Mytilus edulis: one gene and its partner. The protein of the gene in region 1 interacts with the protein of each later gene in a pairwise test. Links are inferred from orthologs where the notes say so. Each region holds a gene or a part of one and is shown on either strand. Other genes may lie near its edges.

Region 1 (10,388 bases):
ACAATGTTTTCAAAAAGTTCTTAACAACCTATAAATTCCAAAAAAACCTCATGCTGAGTCACAAAATTGAAGGTGTACATGAGTTGGTCCATAATTATTTGTTTAATTAAAATCTAATAAGATGGTCACCCTCCCTCAGTTGTACAGGAATCAAGATTAGGTACTTACGGAACATAAATTATTTCTATACATGTACCATTTCATGTACATGTATACAACCCTACAGAATGACGATTATGAAGATGCTTGAAACTTTTAATAGAGCAGGGATATAGACGTGCCTTTTATCTCGGACATGATGTCTTAAAGACTGACAAATTGATGATCTTTTTTTGGTGAAAGACATGATTCCAGAAATGACCTATAAATCAACACAAGCGTATAGTCCGTCCGCCCTGATTTCGGTTCGCCCTAGTTACTGTTCGCCCTTGTTCCGTTTCGCCCTGAGACCGTTTGCCCTGATTTTTATTTTTTATTATAGTGTTGTGTTGTGTGTATTTAATTTTATATGTTGAAGTCAGTCTACAATTTTGCCGAATATTTACGAACTATTGAGAACTAAGTTAGTATCTGTATGTAATTACATTACTAGAAAATCACTATCACACATCCTTTTACTTTACATTTCCACACATGATTTGATCAATAAAAATGATACATTAGGAGCACTAAAGTTATACATAAGAAAGTGTTCAAAGTTCAAAGTGTTAATTGATCTAAAATTCTTTACTGCAGCGGCTGAACGTTGTCTAGTGGGTTGTCGGACGGCTTGTCACAGTTTGGCAATAACTTTGTAAAAAATTTATTTGAGAAAAAAGTTATTTTCATTATTAATCCATCAAAGACAATTCATATAACAATCAGTGATATCAAAGATTTCAAATTATCAGCAATCAAAATTCAATCAACAGTAATTAAAAGTAATTATAAAATAAAGTGTAACAATGCAGCCAAGAATTTTATTTCATTAATATTCTGTATTTAACTTTTAATAGATATACATGTACATAAATTTTAAGGGTTACACTAAAGACCTGAAAGTGGACCTGAAAAGACCTGAAAAGACCTGAAAAGACCTGAAAATATACGACTAAAATTATTCAAATTGCAATAACTTTTTTATTATTGGATGGAATTTCTTCAAGTTGGAATTTTATTAATTGTAAATATTCAGATTTCATTCAAATTAAAAAAAAATTAAATAAAAAACAATTTTTTGATGCCAAAAGTTGGACCTGAACGGAGAAATGAAAAGACCTGAAGGGACCTGAAAATCTATGTCGGACTAATTCTAACTACAATAACTTTTTTAATATTCAATGGATATCTTTCAACTTTTGATTTTATGACACAAAAAGTTCAATATAATGATAATATGAAAAAAAATATGTGAAAAATATTGTTGGGGTGTCAAAATTCGGACCTGAACGAAAAATTCAAAATCTGAATGAGCCTAAAATTCCACATTATTTTAAAACGAAAATAATAAACATAGACGAAAAATATGATTGATAACTTTTCATGTTCGATGTCATTTGGTCTCTTGTAGAGATCTGTCTCATTGGTATCACACCACATCTCCCTATTTTTTATTGACAGGAGATACTAACATGATAAAGATTGAAGATACCAAGGAATAATCAAAACTCGGATGTCAAAACTTATAAGTCAAAGAGATATACCATAGAAATAAATAATTGAGAAAAAGGTTTGGTGTCTTTAAACTACAATAACCCCGTCACAATTTTTGTGGTGTCCCAAGTCTGGAACCTGCACTTTGTGACAAACGTCGGACCTGTTGAATGAAAAATGAAGTCCTGAATGAACCTGGATATATATAGCGTCTCGATCGGTATGATGTTAGTCTGGTGTGTTCAGTTAGCAAAGGTAATGGCAATGCAGGAGACATGCTGATATATAATAACGTTGGAAACTATACTTGTACGCACTTTGTTGAATATTTTTATTCTGACTAAAAACGATTCAAAGTTGACTATAATTTATAAAAAGTAAGAGCGTTGATCTGAATTCACTGATTAGTTTGATATATGCTTATATTTTTAATTTGTAAAGTTTATACTTGAATGAATGAATCTTTATTGCAAAGCATAGACAGGCTATGGCAAAATTAACAACATATATTACATAATATAAAACATGAATAGACAACAGAGAACAATAGTAAAATACAATGACATATAAATTGAGTTATGAGACTATATAAGATCGAATATTCAATGCAGCTTTTACATAATTACATAATTTGATCGTGAGAGACTTACTAGAAGCTTGTAGTAAATTTAATAGTTTGATATTATTAGGCCAATGACAATAGTACTTTGGTAAAAATTGTGTTCGTACAGATCTATACTATACTTTAATTGGTGACCGAGCAATGTTTAGTTCGTGTAACAAGATAAAGTGATAATCCAATTAGAAGATTAAAGTGAAATGTTTATTTAGACTAATGATCCAATTATCACCTAATATCAAAACAAGGTGTGAATTACAACCGGCACACGTTCGTGTAATTAAAACATTCCAATCGACGAACTCTTTAAATGACATATGGTTTATGGGGAAGCAATACTAATACTTTCATTTTATAAATAAAGCAGTTTACGACCAGCTTTAATATAGAATAAGAATAAAATATATATTAATGTAGTTTAAACAAGTTGTATTAGTTTGAATAATTTCAACGTACAATCTTCCTCTTTTTTCCCCTTAGGTTCAGGATTCATCAATAACAATGTACTTTGTTTTCAAATATGTTCCTGTATAAATATAAAGTCATTCGTTCTCTTCAATAGACTTTTGTCTAAAATAGAAACAAATAGGAAAACAATGTTTTGCGAGTTTAAATACAACTACCCCTATAATCCATTCATGTCTTTTATTTCACCGACAAGGTCCGAATTTTGTAACTAAATAATTATATTTTCGATAAAATTCTTTATAATTTCATTGATATATTATACCTTTCCTATAACAAAATTCATATTTCAAGGAGAATGATTGAAAACAGTTAAAGATATTGAATAAATCTGACCGCAGTCTTTTCAAGCAAATTTATGTTCCTTAATTTTCCGTTCAGTTCCGAGTTTTCACACCCAAATGGTATTTTTCATATTTTTTTTTTAATTTTATCATTATATTGAACTTTTTGTGTCACAAAAACAAAAGTTGAAAGATATCCATTGAATATTAAAAAAGTTATTGTAGTTAGAATTAGTCCGACATAGATTTTCAGGTCCCTTCAGGTCTTTTCATTTCTCCGTTCAGGTCCAACTTTTGGCATCAAAAAATTGTTTTTTATTTAATTTTTTTTAATTTGAATGAAATCTGAATATTTACAATTAATAAAATTCCAACTTGAAGAAATTCCATCCAATAATAAAAAAGTTATTGCAATTTGAATAATTTTAGTCGTATATTTTCAGGTCTTTTCAGGTCTTTTCAGGTCCACTTTCAGGTCTTTAGTGTAACCCAAATTTTAATATATATATTTTATTTCATCATTAATGTAACGTATCCATTGTACATATATATCATAAATGAAAATAGGGCGAAAGAACCCAGGGCGAACAAACTCAGTGCGAACGAACCTAGGGCAAACATGTAATCAGAGCGAACGATCCCGATACCCAAGCGTACATAATCCTTATAATCATGATACTAACACCAACACTGTACATGCTGTTCTTGCTGTATATGCATACATGTATATATTTTTTTATTTCTAAGTTTATGTTATGTAAAAATTAAATGAAAACTGTTGTTTGTAAACTGTCCTTGTGGGACATTGACTGGTTAAATGGAATATTTCATTTATATAATCTGATAATTTTACAAAAATCAAAGGTCAAAGTTGCAAAGTGACGCATTATCAATCTTTATAAAAACATATATACACAAATAATAAAGATAACTCTTTAAAATGATATGCAAAAAAAGTATTATCGTTAGTTTACCGTCTGATTAGCTAATTTTGTTCTGCAGCACCTCGAAAACATTTTTATGCAACAATATTTTTACCCCGGAAGTAATCGGACTGTTGAAATATTAAAACAAATGCGGGCAGAAACGACATTCGTATTGGTCAAGACTGACTTGCTTCCCTGCTTGCTTCAAGGCTTCAAGTGCAAGATGCCAAAACCTCAACATATAGACCATTCCCCCGAAGCTAGCATAACTACACCAAAAGAGGACATTGCCAATGTCCCCAAATTTGGTTGGAGAGTAAACTTCGAACATGAATGCAAGGACAAATGTGATCCATTTGTAAAACCCAGACTCACCCACATTCCTGAATTAATTGGTCTTAGCTATAGGTAAACGTTTTACATTGTGACCAGACATTGTACATTATGCCACATATTAAACATGGTTATAGGTACGAATTTACTAGGGTGTTTCAAGTTTTTAAACATGCATAAAGACTGGCAAGGTACTTTGTGGAAAGGTGCTGTTGCACATGCATCAAAATTGCATGCTCCTTCTAGACAAATCAAGAAAGATTTATGTTTGTTTCTTTAAAAATTTGTTGGCTAAATTGTACCGTTCTTTTGCCTCATTGCACATGTTGCAAAAATAGACTGATTAGTCCAGGATGCACAACATTTCCTATAACTGGAAATCATGGAATCTTTGCTTGTATATGATAACATTTTATTTGAATGAACAAGATTAAGAAAGAAATTTGTGTCAGGGATTTGAATTGGATGAAAAAACTTCTGAAATTTGTTATTTGTTTACGTTGCAGCCATCTATATTCCAAGGCACATATCACATAATTTCTTTTTCTATATTATTACAGCATCTGGTCTGTTTCTAACATACATGTATGTGGATGACATTACTTTTGCCAGAAAATGTTCCTTTTTATCACAAAATTGTGTTTCTACAAAACCTTTCCTACAATAATTTTGTATTTTTTTACACTTGGCAAGTCAGATGACTTATATAGAGAGATACCGTTTAACAGAAATACACCAGGAAATTTTCAAGCAATTTCTTTAATATGATTCCAATATGGCCTTTATATGAGCCTTGATGCAAATGCTCTATTCATTGAATGTTGAACTTCAGGCGCGGATTCAGAGGGGGGGTTCTGGGGGTTGGAACCCCCCCTTTTTTTTGGACGATCAATGCATTTGAATCGGGACATGTAATTGGAACCCCCCCTTTGTCCTGGGTTAGGAACCCCCCCTTTTTAAAAGGACTGGATCCGCCCCTGAACTTGGATAGTGTATTTTCCATAAGTTTAGTTCTAAAATGCTTACGGTAAATGTCAAAGGTTAAAAGAATTCTTATGTGTCTGTTGGTGGCATGATGCAAGACAAAATCGTAACATCATGAAATATTTTCCACTGCAAACAACAATTAATCTATTTATCAGAAAAATGTTATTGAATGTCGGAAAGTCTAAAACTTTGTACTGTTGGTTGTTACAGATATATGAAAGTATGGATAAAGCACAAAAGACAGGGAAGAATAATGTTTATAGATCATCTCAATCAAGTTACTCACAAGCCTATTTATGGTAAGAATTAACAGAAGACATAGTTTGTGTTTAACTGAATCCCCAAATTGAGTGGACCACTGCATCAAGTCTTGGTATCTGAGTCGTCTAAGGAGTTTATCTACTGTTTCACTAGTCTGTCCACAATGTGGTATCAGGTTTCCTACTGAAACTTGCCTCAGTGGTTCTGCTCAGAGACCTGGGCTTCAAAACTAATAAAAACTGACCACCATAGTATTGACAATAGTTTTGAAGGGTGATTTATATACCAAAAAATTCTGACAGGATTTTTTTCCTATTTTGAGACTCGTCAATCAATTTTAATATCTAGAATTGGAGACGCATTGTATTGCTCAAAATTTTTCTTGATGATCTGCTTTTATGTCGACAAACATGGTAACTTTTTTGTGACGTTTCAATAACATGTTAAATATCTGTCAATGAGACAGTAAACAAATGATAAAAAAAAAAAACCCCAAAAAGATAGCTTGTCAGAGAAAATTTGACAGGTCAGGTTTTAACAATAAACCTGAAATAAAGGTCACAGGTCATATTAAATGGGTAAAACTGATACATACTAAATTCAGGTCCCGTAACTTAGAATGAGTTCGACATGTTAGATATGATGAAATAATACAATATTTGTAGGACTTTTTTCTAGTGAGAATTCTTTAAATATACTTGTACATATTTTGCAGGTGGTCTTATAAGGGATATAGATTGTGGAATGGTTTAATCTTGTTTATTTTGCATGATTTCTGTATGGCAATGTAAGTTGTGGGCCAATTGACTGTTTCTGCCTGGGAAAGTTGTGTTGGTTTACTGTCAATTCAGAAATTATTGTGAGGTTTTTATTATTGCGAAAAATGCAACAAAGTTGTAAACGCAATAATTTAAACTAGCATTTTGAAATATTTTATATAATTTTTTTCTCAATATCCTAAAAATTGAAATCACATTTAAGTCTAAAATGACAAAATCACAATAGTAAATGCCGGCAATAATTTCTGAATTTACAGTAACTATATCATTTATGTATATTTATTACAAGTGCATGGTTGAGGATTTTTTTAATAATTTTGTAGATATTTCATAATATGTTTAGTGGTTGTCTTATTAGTGGTATGGATTGTGGTGTCAAGAAATAGAAGTTCCTTTAATCTTGTATTGTAAGAAGAATTCTTAAGATAAACTGTTACATATTTTACAGGCTGTCCAATAGGTGGTATAGGGTGTGGGACCATTGGTCGTGGTTACCGAGGTGAATTTTGTAGATTTCAGATGGTGCCAGGGATATATGAACATACTATTGTACCAGCAAATTCTGTAAGTACAATAATAACTGCAATCTTCATGACCTACCATTGTCAAACCTAATGAGAGTGGTATAATGCTATTCTGGTGTATGCCATCTGTTTGTCCATCTGTTCATTCCATAAAAGTTCTGCCACATTTTTCTACGGTATTACATTTACATATCAAAACTTCCTTAAATTCAGATTTTGAACTTTTTGTTAACTGAATACCTATAATATATTGTTACAAATTCTGACCATGTATGAAATTTAGTGTTCAGGAACTATAAATAAGAATTTTCTGAAATGTGGCATCAATATTGTTGGAAAGGTATTTTACTGTGGAGCACATGGAAAAATTATAATTTCACCATAAAATACATGACAATGTCAATCTATGATAAATTGTTGATGAGAAGTCAGTTTTATGCTTATATGATCATGGTTGAATTTTTTATCAAGTAGTATTTTCACCATGCATTTGTACAAGATACAGGAGAAAGAAACTATCGAAAATATAAGATGCAAAGAATGGGGCAACTTTAATTTCCTGGTTAAGTAACTATAGTGAGTTCTAGCATAAGGAAGATTTGTAGATACCAACCACATCAGACAGACACTGGTTATTTTTTTTGTGAAAGCAAAGTGTATAAATGGATAACTTTTTCTATCCTTTAGCCTTTTTTTAGTTTTAAAGCATAGGGTATTGATTTTGCTCATTGTTGATGGCTGTATAGTTGTCTAATGGTGTTTACATCTATGTCCTTTGTAGATAATTGTCTCATTGTCTCATCATCTTATTTTTATATTATAGTTTGTTTCATGTTTCTATCTTTGTTTTGTAGTTCATCTTGTGTATACGAAAGAACAATAAAACTGTTTACCAAAAAGTCTTAACAGGAGGAAAAGGGAAGCACTTAAAATCCTGGGAATGGGGATTTCCCAGACAGAATGCTACATATCATGCACTTTATCCCCGATCATGGACTGTATATGATATACCTGAGTTTAATCTTAAACTTACCTGTCGTCAAATATCACCCATCTTCCCTAATGATTACAAGGTAGGTTGTAAACACATTTCCCTAACTGATGTAATAGGCAAAATTGTATATATTTTCTGTATCATTTGTTATTATGCGCATGATGAGAGGATTAAATTAGCAAGCAACAATTACTCAATATAGGGCCAGGTTACATAAATAAGGTGTAATACCACAAAATCATAGTACATCACATCTGGTTGCATACGATAAAAGGATTGAAAAAGTATTCCCTTGAATTTGACAGTTGTAGGAAATTTATCCTACATTTATTGCAGTAAACAAATCTGTGTCATAGACTTATATCTTGGGTGTTTCAAAGTACCATTATGTTTTTTAATTGATTTTTTCTATAGAATATTTTGGAAACTTGAGGTTTCCTGGTTTCTTAAGCTTGTACACAGGAAGAAAAAGGTTGAAAATTTGATTGGTTAACTTCCAGTGATGGTTATTTTTTTTATATGCAATAAACATCATGGGAATTTTTTCTATAGTGCTCGACATGACGAAACTTTACTCATGCCAAGTATTTCTTTATTTGAAACAAAGATAATTTTTGCCCAATATTTTAAAAAGTGCAAATTTAACAAAGACCAATAGGGGAAAATCAATGGTGGAATTACACCATATACATTTGCAAATCTTATTTTTTTATGGTTAAAACAAATCAGTAAAACTTTACACAATGCTATGATTACAAAATATAATCATATAACATGTATAATTGCAATCATTCTTCTTTTCTTTAATTCTTGATGGTTTAAAGCTTGGATTTCACCATCGTTGAGATAAATGTCAAATTCATATCAATTTGAACTTAGACCCACCCCTGATGCATATAAAAGGGATAAAAAAAAGTATATAAAAACACAACTGCCTACACATGAGGTAAAAATGTTACTTACTACCAGAGCACTAATGGAAAATAATACTGAATATAAAGAAATACTGTTTGAAACATTTATAATTTATTTATATTGTATTTTAGGATACTAGTTTTCCAATGGCAGTATTTGTATGGTCTGTAGAAAATATGGGACAAGACTCATTAGATGTCAGTATAACATTTACCTTTAAAAATGGAAGAGGTGTGAAGGAAGATTGTAACCCTGGTAACTGGACTGAACCATTTGAAAGTGAGGCTGAGGGGCAGAAGGTTGCAGGAATGATGATCAGACAGAACATACGCGACATGAAATGTACCTATGGAATAGCTGGAGCTTTCAAGGTGTAAATTTAGGATATTGAATACTGTTCATTCTGACAATAAGATGAAAGTACATATGCTATTAGGCCTTCACATACATTTATTTTGTTTATATGAAGTTGAAAAGAATAATGTTTAAAGGTGTGTGTATTCATATCCAAATTCTGTATATGTGACAAGGTTAAACCTTTTTTTTACCAGGGATTTTTTGCTTACCATGATGTGCTAACTGTCAGAATTGTTTGTGGCATTTTTCCTTTCTTTGGAATTCTCTCATAATCTTTTGATAATATAATACTTTGATTAGTTTTTATACGACCGCAAAAGTTTTAATTTTTTGGTCGTATATTGCTATCACGTTGGCGTCGTCGTCGTCCGAATACTTTTAGTTTTCGCACTCTAACTTTAGTAAAAGTGAATAGAAATCAATGAAATTTTAGCACAAGGTTTATGACCACAAAAGGAAGATTGGGATTGATTTTGGGAGTTTTGGTCCCAATATTTTAGGAATTAGGGGCAACAAAGGGCCCAAATAAGCATTTTCTTGGTTTTCGCACTATAACTTTAGTTTAAGTGAATAGAAATCTATGAAATTTTGACACAAGGTTTATGACCACAAAAGGACAGTTGGGATTGATTTTGGGAGTTTTGGTTCCAACAGTTTAGGAATTAAGGGCCAAAAAAGGGCCCAAATAAGCATTGTTCTTGGTTTTCGCACAATAACTTTAGTATAAGTAAATAGAAATCAATGAAATTTAAACACAAGGTTTATGACCACAAAAGAAAGGTTGGGATTGATTTTTGGAGTTGAGGTCACAACAGTTTATGAATTAGGGGCCAAAAAGGGGCCCAAATAAGCATTATTTTTGGTTTTTGCACCATAACTTTAGTATAAGTAAATATAAATCTATGAAATTTAAACACAAGGTTTATGACCATAAAAGGAAGGTTGGGTTTGATTTTGGGAGTTTTGGTCCCAACAGTTTAGGAATAAGGGGCCCAAAGGGTCCAAAATTGAACTTTGTGTGATTTCATCAAAAATTGAATAATTGGGGTTCTTTGATATGCCGAATCTAACTATGTATGTATATTCTTAATTTTTGGTCCCGTTTTCAAATTGGTCTACATTAAGGTCCAAAGGGTCCAAAATTAAACTTAGTTTGATTTTAACAAAAATTGAATCTTTGGGGTTCTTTGATATGCTGAATTTAAAAATGTACTTCGATTTTTAATTATTGGCCTAGTTTTCAAGTTGGTCCAAATAGGGGTCCAAAATTAAACTTTGTTTGATTTCATAAAAAATTGAATAAATGGGTTCT
Region 2 (10,535 bases), on another chromosome or scaffold:
ACTGTTCAAGAAATAATGATTGAAAACATGATAATCCCATAATTGTCACCTGAACAAATTTAATTAGGAACAAGGTCAACCTGTCACTGAATTGTTTTGACATCGATTAGACCTGTTGATTGAGGTGTGATAATCCGGATTAACAGCTAGAATCATCAAACAAAAAATGAAAACAATGAGATTTTAACAATTTATTACAGCACTAATGACATTAATTATAATTATTAAACTGATTCGTAATTATTATTAAATTGTTTGAATCAGAACAATAATTTGGACATTTAATCTTGTCCTTGATACTCAAACCATTTATTAAATTTGGATTAAAATATTTATCTCAATCTATTAAAATTCTTATTCATTTGTTAGAATACTTTTAATTTCATATAAATTAAGTATTCCGCACGGAATTCTCCGACATTGGTGTCCATTTAAAAAACTTCCTGTTTACCGAAAACTTCCTGTTTGCCGATTTTGGAGCTGTAACTTTTCCGAAAATGTCTAGGAGTATTATACGAACAAGAAACTTTTTTTCTCTCGTTTCTTGGACCAGAAAGGGGGTGCGCACAATACATCAATGCGCGCTATACATACCAAAAGACGGTAATTTGTTTTTTTTTACAAATTCAAAATAGGACATTTTAGTTATAAGCTAAGACAGTTCTGAATATCAAACATGTTTCTTAGTCAAACAAAAGACCCACCTGAATAAATGCAGTTGTACTTAACCCTAAAATGTAAAGGCAGTTTTGAACAATTCCAGATATACTGATCATGCTAATATACAGAAAAGAAAGAAACTGATAAATCATACCTTTTCTGTTGGAATCATGCCTTTCATTTCCCAGTCTTCATTCAAACTAATCACACCTTTAATATTTTCATCTTCAACAAGCTGTAAAAGTTAAAAGAAAGAATACAGATTATTTTTCACAAAAGTTATTGGATGTTGGATGTGTATGGATTGATAGTTTAGTCTTAAATGCATGATTTTTTTATTAGTTGTTAGTGACTTTGAACTAGCTGTCAATTAACTTTGAGTACTCTCAGATTTGTACCTAGTGTATTTTGTTGTTGTTGTCGGCCACGTTACTTGTATTTTTGTCCATCTAATGAGTTAAGCCTTTTCAACTGATTTTTATAGCTCATTCTTATGTTGTACTGTACATGTTATACCACTGTCCCAGGTTAGAGGAGGGTTGGGATCCCGCTAACATGTTTGTATTTATGTATGTGCCTGTCCCAAGTCAGGAGCCTGTAATTTAGTGGTTGTCATTTGTTTATGTTTTACCTTTTTGTTTTTCATTCTTTTTTTGTACATAAATAGGGCCTTTAGTTTTCTCGTTTGCATGTTTTACATTGTCATTTCGGGGCCTTTTACAGCTGACTATGCAGTATGGGCTTTGTTCATTGTTGAAAGCCGTACAGTGACCTATAGCTGTTAATCTGTGTGTCATTTCGGTCTCTTTGGAAAGTTGTCTCATTTGCAATCATACCACATCTTCTTTTTTTATGTGACATGTTCCTTTATTATCATTTTTCATTGTAGTCTTTGTAGTTAATAATTTTGTACAGTCCAATGTCCTTGACAACATACATGTAGAGTTGACCTATTGCTTATAGTATCTTAGAAATAGACAAAACCATGAAAACTAAACATTGTTCAATGAACCATGAAATTGAGGTCAAGGTCAGATGAAATCTGTCAGTTGGACATGCATATACTCTTTACTATCAATCAATTCACAAATTTCATTTGTTGTTTATTATCTTTTTCTAATTTAGTCCTTTCGTAATCAATAATTTTGTTCAGTCCAATGTCCATAATCAAATAGAGTTGAGTCTTGACCTATAGCTTATAGCATTTGAGATATAGACCAAACACAAATACTTAATATTGTTTACCGTAGTGAACCATATAATTGAGGTCAAGGTCAGATGAAATCTGTCAGTCAGAGTCAGACATATACCCCTAACAAAATTCCATACATCAAATAAATTTGACCTTTTGCCAACAGTATTTGGGATAAGGACTTCACCTACCTTTAACCTTGGTTACACATCCACTGAAAAAAGGTAAAAGTCGGGTGTACTGAACCTGATAAACCTATAGACGTTGAAATTACCCATATATACAAAATGTAGTTTGAAAAAATCATTTTATTTCAAGCAGTTACTGAACTATGAAAATGAGGTCAAGGACAGTGGACAAATGACAGATATAAACTAGTTAACAGAGGTATCTGCATAAAAAATATTAAGCATCTAGGTCTTCTAGTTCAACGGTCTAAAATATAAAGCTTAACACAAATGGTTTATGCAGTGACTGTTGCTGGATGTCTCACATCTTGTACTTTCTGCACTTGCCAGAAAAAAAGCAGACATAAACATGGTAAAATTTGTTATCAAGTTAAAAGTATATCAAGTGTATCTGCATCATCACCCTTTAAAAGAAAAATCATTGCAGTTCAAATGATGCCTATTTAGAATGTTCCCATGGGTGTTCACAGATTGTGTGTTTTCCAATGTATCATAGTATTAAGAAGCTGTATTTTGAAATTTTGGTTTTGGGGTGGGTTTATTTTATATATATTTTTGCTTAACAGCAAAATTTGCATTAGATGTGCAACATTTTTTTTAAATCCTCAAAGGGGGAGAAATCAATATGGCTGTTTTTTATAATTTCTATTAAGGGGAAAGCACTAACGATGGTTATACCTTTTTACTATTTTCCTTCAAGGGGAGAGCACCCAATACCACTGTTTCATCAATTCTGTTGTACCATTGTCTGTTTGTTATCTTTGTCATAAGTTTGTTATAATACAACGTTGGATAGAAGGCAATCTTCCCAAATAAGCTTCCTGACATAATCAATCTTTATTCTTCTATTTTCAAGCTGCACCAACACCTAGAAATATAAAACAAATGACATATGCATGAAATGGAAAATATTTAAAAAATAAAAATCAAATCAAATATTTTATTTTTCCAATAAGGGTCCCACAAGGGGCATTTACAATTAGCAATTATGATAGTATAAGCAACAAACATGAGACATTGTACAGTATATAACGTGACAGATATTATAAGAAACAAATGAAAATAGCATTAATAACAAAAATACATTAAAAGTACTTTTTTTTCCTTCCTTCCATCCTTTTAACCATTATTATTTAATTGTCCAGCAGTGCACAAATAAAAAAATATTAATAATAAAGTTTGAACAGACTTAAATTATTATCTATAAAGATGGAAATTTGTTCATCTGCAAGAGACACCAAGGGACGGTGCTCAAGGATATACTGTTGATTGAGATAGGCAATAACAGCAATCCTTCCCGTGTCAGAAGCAGATGAACAAAATAAATAGAGAAACTGAATCCTGTCAATTAACAAATATTATTTTAAATAACAACAATGAGGGGGGATAGGAAAAAATGTAGGAGGGGTCCTGATCCCAAAATCCCGGGCTTAAAAACACGAAATCCAGAGGTCCCAAATTTAAATAAAGTAAATCCGGAAATAAAATAAAAAAAGAATTCCCGAATCCCAAAGGGTCAATCCCGAAATCCCGAGCTTAAAAACACCTGATCCCGGAGTCCCGATAAAGGTCCTATCCCCCCTCAACAATAGCTAATTTTGCGAAACATGTAATATTAATCTGCTATTTGCAGTGTTTAACCAGGAATATACACAACTCTTTTAATACTGTTACAGTTGAGTTCTCACAAGACAGCAGCCATAGCAATTTCTCTTGGGAATTTAAATTAATGAAATTGGGACATGATTCAGAAATAATTTGATATAACTGATGTCTGTCTTACAAAAAATAAATTTTTATAAAAATAATATTTTATTGTTGAATTTTGTATGCAGTAGCATTTTTCAAAGTACTTTGTTTATCCCATGAAATATCAAACATTACCACATAGTACCAGAGGTAATTCAAACAAAAAATATACCCTTAAGAAAACAGATTTACAGAGTAATTGAGAGATTTATATTCTAAAGGACAATTCATCCAATTCATCAGAACTACATCATAACATACTCAGCTCTGCATTAAAGAGTTATTATGATTAAAGCAAAATATCACACACAGGGTTTCTTTTGAGATTGGGAAATGATGATGTAATATTTTTGACATAAATTACTAGCCAAGATTTTTTTTTTTTTTTATCTGTCCTACATTCTATTTATATGCATAGTTGTTGTCACTTTCTTTCGTATATCATTATATAGCAACATATAAATGAAAAAAAAACTTTCATTGTTTGTAAGATGCAATCATAATAGTTTTAAATATAAGAATGTAGGACAGAAAGTCACAGGACAAAAAGTCACAATTCATTTTTTCTAATTATTTTCTTTGAATAAAAACCACTTATTTCTACTTTTCTTGAGCTATTGTATATAAACCAACTTTGTTAACAAAATTTATCAAAAATATATCAAAGATGATCAAATAATTGCTAAAAAAAACAAAATGTCAAAGTGGTTTGGCACTTAAATGGCTTCATGGTGCCAAGAAATATATCTTTTGCCTGATTAGAATTAAATAAATCTTGATTTTTCAAGTATAATGACACATTTCCTAAACTTTAATAATGTTGCAATGTTTAGATACCTTTTCATGTTAGCACAAGAAACAACATTTCGATCGCCATCGTTAGACAAGATGAAAAGTATTCTAGACAATTGTGGATTCTCTTACTTATGGTCATTCCAAAACACATCACCTAACATTAAATCGATAATTAAACAAAGACTAGAAGATCAGTTTACACAGTCATGGTCAGGAAAGGTAAACGATTCGCCGAAAGCCCTGAATTATCGCCTATGCAAGACATCACACAATTTCGAACACTACCTTAACGTACTTGATGATAAAGATGTAATAACAATGTCGCGGTTTAGGACAATGAACCATAAACTGCCGATTGAAAATGGTAGATGGCAAAACATTCCCCGAGAACAGAGAAAGTGTCCGTTGTGCAGAGTTGCTATAGGTGACGAATACCACTATGTAATGGAATGCAGCAGTCTCTTAACAGATAGAACACTACTTATTGACAAGAAATGACTAACAAACTTTAATGTTTTAAAATTTAATGCTATTATGAACCAAAAACAGAAATCTAAACTTCGAAAATTGTGCCAATTTATTAGAATTATAAATGACAAACTGGATTCTCTCTGATGTTAACCTGTCGGCTATACTGATCATACTGTTGTAAAAAACTCATATTTAATGCTTCCTCAACAAATGTACAATACTACATATATGCAATGTAATGTAAACTAATGTGTTTTTCTGTATACCTTTGTCCAACTTAGGTGATACCAGAATAAAATGATATATAATTTATATATCATTTTATTTATATGAATATATGTATTTATAAAAGTAAATATTTCAAAATATTTCTCTTATATATATATTCAAATAATTGTCAACAAATTATTTGTGACTTTTTGTCCTATCAAATTTGTGACTTTATGTCCTGTGACTTTTTGTCCTGTGACTTTCTGTCCGTTTATCTATAAATAATATCAAATAAAGCATAGGTACGAGTTGATAAAAATAGGGTACGAGTTGGTTGAGTACGAGTTGTCGTATACAACATTGTCATTGAGTTTAAAAAATCATATTCCGGTATACATGTTACTGAAAAAAGGTTTCTTTTTTCATTTAATTCGAAAACTGTTTGTTCCTAAACATTGACACTTAGTAGCAGGTCTTTTTTATATCAACATTTACATTTTCACATTTCACATGATTCTTTGCCAAACTCTTCTGTCTTTGAAAACCACAAAAGTTATACAAAGGATAACTTATTATTCAAATGTTTTTATAACCTTTATTCTTTTTTTTTTTAACTTTAGTTTGCTTGGTGTGGTAAAGTTTAATTGAAATTCTAATAACTTTATTTTTAACAGTGTAATTTTATTGACGATTTATCCATTACAATAAAAATTAAAGTTGTCGTTATTAGGGCTCCAATAAATTCTCCCGGTTCAAAGGTCAAAATGTCAGCACTGAGAGTGTTAGTTGGTTGCAAAAGAGTTATAGATTATGCTGTTAAAGTAAGATATTGTCACCCTATAGGAAATATTCATAGCAGTCTAAATAGTCAGGACAACTTTTTACAAAATATGTTAAAAAATATGTAACAAGCGTTTGGTTAAACATGTTATTTTTTTGTTAAAGTTTAACCTTTACCACTTTTTTATTTAGAGCTTACACTTACAAATGACTTAAGTATCATCAATTACATAAAAGACCATATTAATTTCACAAATGGGCTAATATGTAAATGTATAAACGATAAAGTAATGAAATGACATGTCACACAAAAGTCTCTGTATTCAGTGGCATGAAAATTGTAGCTATAGCCTATAGTTTTTGTCCTGGGACTATAATAATTTATACTAAGAATAATAATAGAATAAGTACAATAGTCCCCCAGCTATGCCCATGGCCTAAAGTGAAGCACATACACTAAACATGGGAAATGGAACAGGATCTCTTTGTGTAAGTGTCAACTTTGCATATTTAGGTTCCTGGCAGATGATTCTAGAGTTCCTGGAGGGCCCTAGCAGGATACATATAAGTGATGCAAAATCCTGCATTATCATTATGCTGCAACTCTAAAACAGCCTGTACTAATCTTTAATCATGTTAATGAAGTTAATCCAACAAAATCTTTAAAGGCATCAAAATACAAATGTTAGAATAGCACAGGATGCTTGCCATATGGCTACCTTATTTCAAGTCTAATCAGAGATGAGTGCCAAAATCAAATCATTTCACTTTCAATTAATGAAAGATTTGAATTGTATTCGTATTCATAGCCAATTTCTTTACAATTGTTATTGATATTGATTTCTTATTAACTTCAATCAGCTTTCTATGACAATTTTTTCCGAGGTCAAACTATTTTCTCTTCAGTTGTTTGGACAGAGTATTAATTGAAAGAGTTATCTCCTCCTTTGTTTTTATTTCATGATATATATCGCAGCTGACAGAGTAGAGGTTACATAGGAATCCTCATATAGGTTTGTGACCATTAGTCACTTTTTGGAGCTTCCATATGATAGAGAACCACTTTTTTGAAATTGTCATTTTAATGTAATGTATTAAATCTCTAAGGACATGAAGGATAGGTTAAGCTATTGTCATGATTGTCTTTTTCATTTTCACAATTCCAGAGTTTAAATTCAAACTTGTGAATTTTGGATAATAAATGGAAAATCCCTTTTTCAAATTCATTGAAATTTTGAAGGACTGTTTCTGAGAAGCACAGGTTGAGTTCATTTTCTTCATCACTCTTGCTGTTCCAGAGCATTGTTCATGTTGTTGCTTGATAATTGAATTAAGATCAATATTTTGTGGTTTCTTAGGATTAAATGGAGAACCATTTTTAATACCATGTGTATGAAACTGAAGGAAGTTTCAATCGAAGTTTTGACAACCAACTTAGATTAGGTTTGATTAGCATTAAAACCGATATTGTATGGTTAGTGATATTGAGTGACTCCAAAAGGAATTTAAGTCATGTAAGTTCTCTACGGTCAGTAGGCTTATTATTGTCTTGTAACACAGATTTATTCATTGATAAATAGAGGAATACATCATTTCTGATTTAATCTACTACACTTCACATCAGCATGTTTATTACGGAAATAATACCCTATGGAAAATCCATCATTGAATTTTTATGCTGGTGTACTTCTTACCAAAAGGAAAGAGGTCCTTACCAGGATAAAAATCACTGTTACTGACACATTCCACTTCAACTTTAAGTACATTGGTGTTTATTATATGAATCTAACATAATTATACAGTGATTTGCAGGAATACTTTTTTGGAATATAAATATGTAAAGAGCAAAAGTTATGTAAGCAAGGTAAAATTTGTAATTCAATGTTTCATATGAATGATAACAGTCATGCATTCTTTTTATTTGAATAGATTCGGGTGAAGCCAGATAAAACTGGTGTGGTAACTGATGGAGTCAAACATAGTATGAACCCATTTGATGAAATAGCTATAGAAGAAGCTGTTAGACTTAAAGAAAAGAAAATAGCATCAGAAGTGATAGCTGTGTCATGTGGACCAAAGCAATGTCAGGTCTGTTTACATATGAGTTAAATGAGTTAGGTCAAATATGATTATCAGGCATAAATATAAAATTACTACTTAGATATTGGAAGATGTGGTGTAAGTGCCAATGAGACAACTCTCCATCCAAATAACAATTTATAAAAGTAAACCATTATAGGTCAATGTACGGCCTTCAACACAGAGTCTTGGCTCACACCAAACAAAAAGCTATAAAGGGCCCCAAAATTACTAGTGTCAAACCATTCAAACAGGAAAACCAACGGTCTAATACTTAGCATGTTTAGCAAACTAAATGTTAGAGACAGTAAACTTGCAAGGAATGATGATAGTTTTAATTAACAGATCTGTACATCTGAATTTTTATCATGTTTATGTAGGATAACATAGTTGCCATGTGTTTATGTTAATTCCCCTGATTTTTAAGCTAACAATTCATTATTTTATCTTTATAGAATGTGTTACTCTTCTGACACAAAATGTATCGAACAAATTTCTAAGTTTGTATTTTGTAATGTATCATAAGAATCATTAATTGTACATATATTGTCCTTACCACTTGTTGTAAAGCAAACAAAAATCAACCAATCACAGATTTCCTTATAATGTTCAAAATGTTTTCAGTGTACAAAATGGTAACATTTTGCTACAGAATTTAAAATATGCATGACTATAGGTGTAAAACTGAAAGCGTCTCTTAGTGTTGAGGTCAGTTGTCCTAGATTTTCATGATCCATTATGATCTTAATATATATTTCAATGATGATTCATGTAAAATTAGTTGATGGAATACACTCATAGGAATTTATTGAGCCATGTGATCTATGAAGGAAATATCTACCTTACAAATAAATAAAGAATAACACTTCACTTTTATCCAAGTCAGAATTTGTTTAAAAGAATTAAAATGTTAATCAATAAAGAGATACACACTTATCTTTGTTCAATAAATTATCTTTTAAAAAAAATTAGAATTTTCTTTTTCCTGTGCTCTTTAAGTTTTCAATTGATATGATGGTCACTAGTCACTAACTTGCCTTGTGTAGAAGTATCTGGCATACTTAATTTATATCATAAGCCTTTGATAACTTTTGCTGTTCCAATATACAGTACAAATTGAAATAGCGTTTGAAGATTGCATGACATACTTTGATTTCATATTTCAATGTCTGCAAATTTTAAACCTTCTTAAAATTCATGATAATGGACTCAAAAGTGGGTAAGCCTATTGAAGATTAACATGCTTGAAGTATTGATGGACTAAGATTTTTTTTAAATATTTCAGGAAACATTAAGAACTGCACTAGCCATGGGAGCTGACAGAGCCATACATGTTAACATAGATCCTAAAGATTATGAAACTTTACAACCAATTCACGTTTCCAAATTCTTAGCAAAAATTGCACAGGATGAAAAAGCTGACATAGTAATAGTTGGGAAACAGGTAAATAACTATAAGATTTTTATTGTATATAAAAATACATTCATGGATAGATATCAACATGTATTACATTGTAATTTAAGTTATCTCATTAACCTAATTACTGGTCATATCAATCTAGAGAGCCATATCTCTTGCCCGTTAAAGACACCCTTGTAAATTTCGAAAAAGAGCAGGCTAATGTAGCTACAAGGCAGCACTCCCACCTGCAAAGTAAAAAGGGATTAATATAAGTTGCAAAACTTGTTTCCCAATCCACTAAAACCAACTATATTGAAATCTAATCCTAAAAAATACAGAAATAACTACTTTTATTTAAAAACTATCAACAATAGAACTTGATTAAAACATTCAGCTGATTTTCACAAAGTTATCTCCCTGTAGTGTTATGGTCCAACTTAATTCAAAATTCAGAATATATCCATAAATTAGTCAGGACCTCAACTTTTAAAATATTTTAGGACCTCAATAGTTCAATTTCAGGATATCCAAAAATATTTGATTTTTTTTGCAATATATGGTGTTAAACAAAACGGCTTATAAAGCTCCATAAGGTTAAACAGATTTTGTTAATTTTTTGGTGTGACATAACTTTATACTTATACCATAGATTTTGTTGAAACCCTCACTCAACTTGATCTTCATATTCTGAAACAAATATTTTAAAAAGTACATTATTTGAATGTTGAATGACATACTGTAAACCAACTTATTTTCGCGGATACTTTAATTCGCGTTTAGCACTTTCAGGTCGACTTCGTGGAGACTTAAGTTCACGATTTTTTAATTAACTTGATGTTTTTAAATAAGAAGAGATCTAAGTTTATCATATTCACGACGATTTATATTCATGTTATTTTTCTACTCGCCAAAGTCAAGAAAATAAATAGCTTGCAAAATTAAGTTGGTTTACAGTAGGCTATTTGGAGACAGAGGAATGCATGACTACCAGTATATCAAAATTAGATAC

The links.
Region 2: the proteins of electron transfer flavoprotein subunit alpha, mitochondrial-like (region 1) and electron transfer flavoprotein subunit beta-like interact in a two-hybrid assay, tested with the Drosophila melanogaster proteins (2 studies listed by BioGRID). The link is inferred for Mytilus edulis from reciprocal best matches to the Drosophila melanogaster genes wal and Etfb.

The regions. Positions count from the first base shown.
Region 1 is NC_092347.1:28,764,371-28,774,758, forward strand, and holds the start of electron transfer flavoprotein subunit alpha, mitochondrial-like, read right to left. Parts: upstream 4,075-10,388; 5' UTR 4,017-4,074; coding exon 3,975-4,016; intron 1-3,974. Other genes in the region: non-lysosomal glucosylceramidase-like, read left to right, coding at 4,075-4,334, 5,457-5,545, 6,735-6,850, 7,665-7,883, 8,851-9,090.
Region 2 is NC_092348.1:27,179,321-27,189,855, forward strand, and holds the start of electron transfer flavoprotein subunit beta-like, read left to right. Parts: upstream 1-5,929; 5' UTR 5,930-6,029; coding exon 6,030-6,086; intron 6,087-7,974; coding exon 7,975-8,133; intron 8,134-9,409; coding exon 9,410-9,568; intron 9,569-10,535. Other genes in the region: phosphatidylglycerophosphatase and protein-tyrosine phosphatase 1-like, read right to left, coding at 815-895, 2,719-2,868.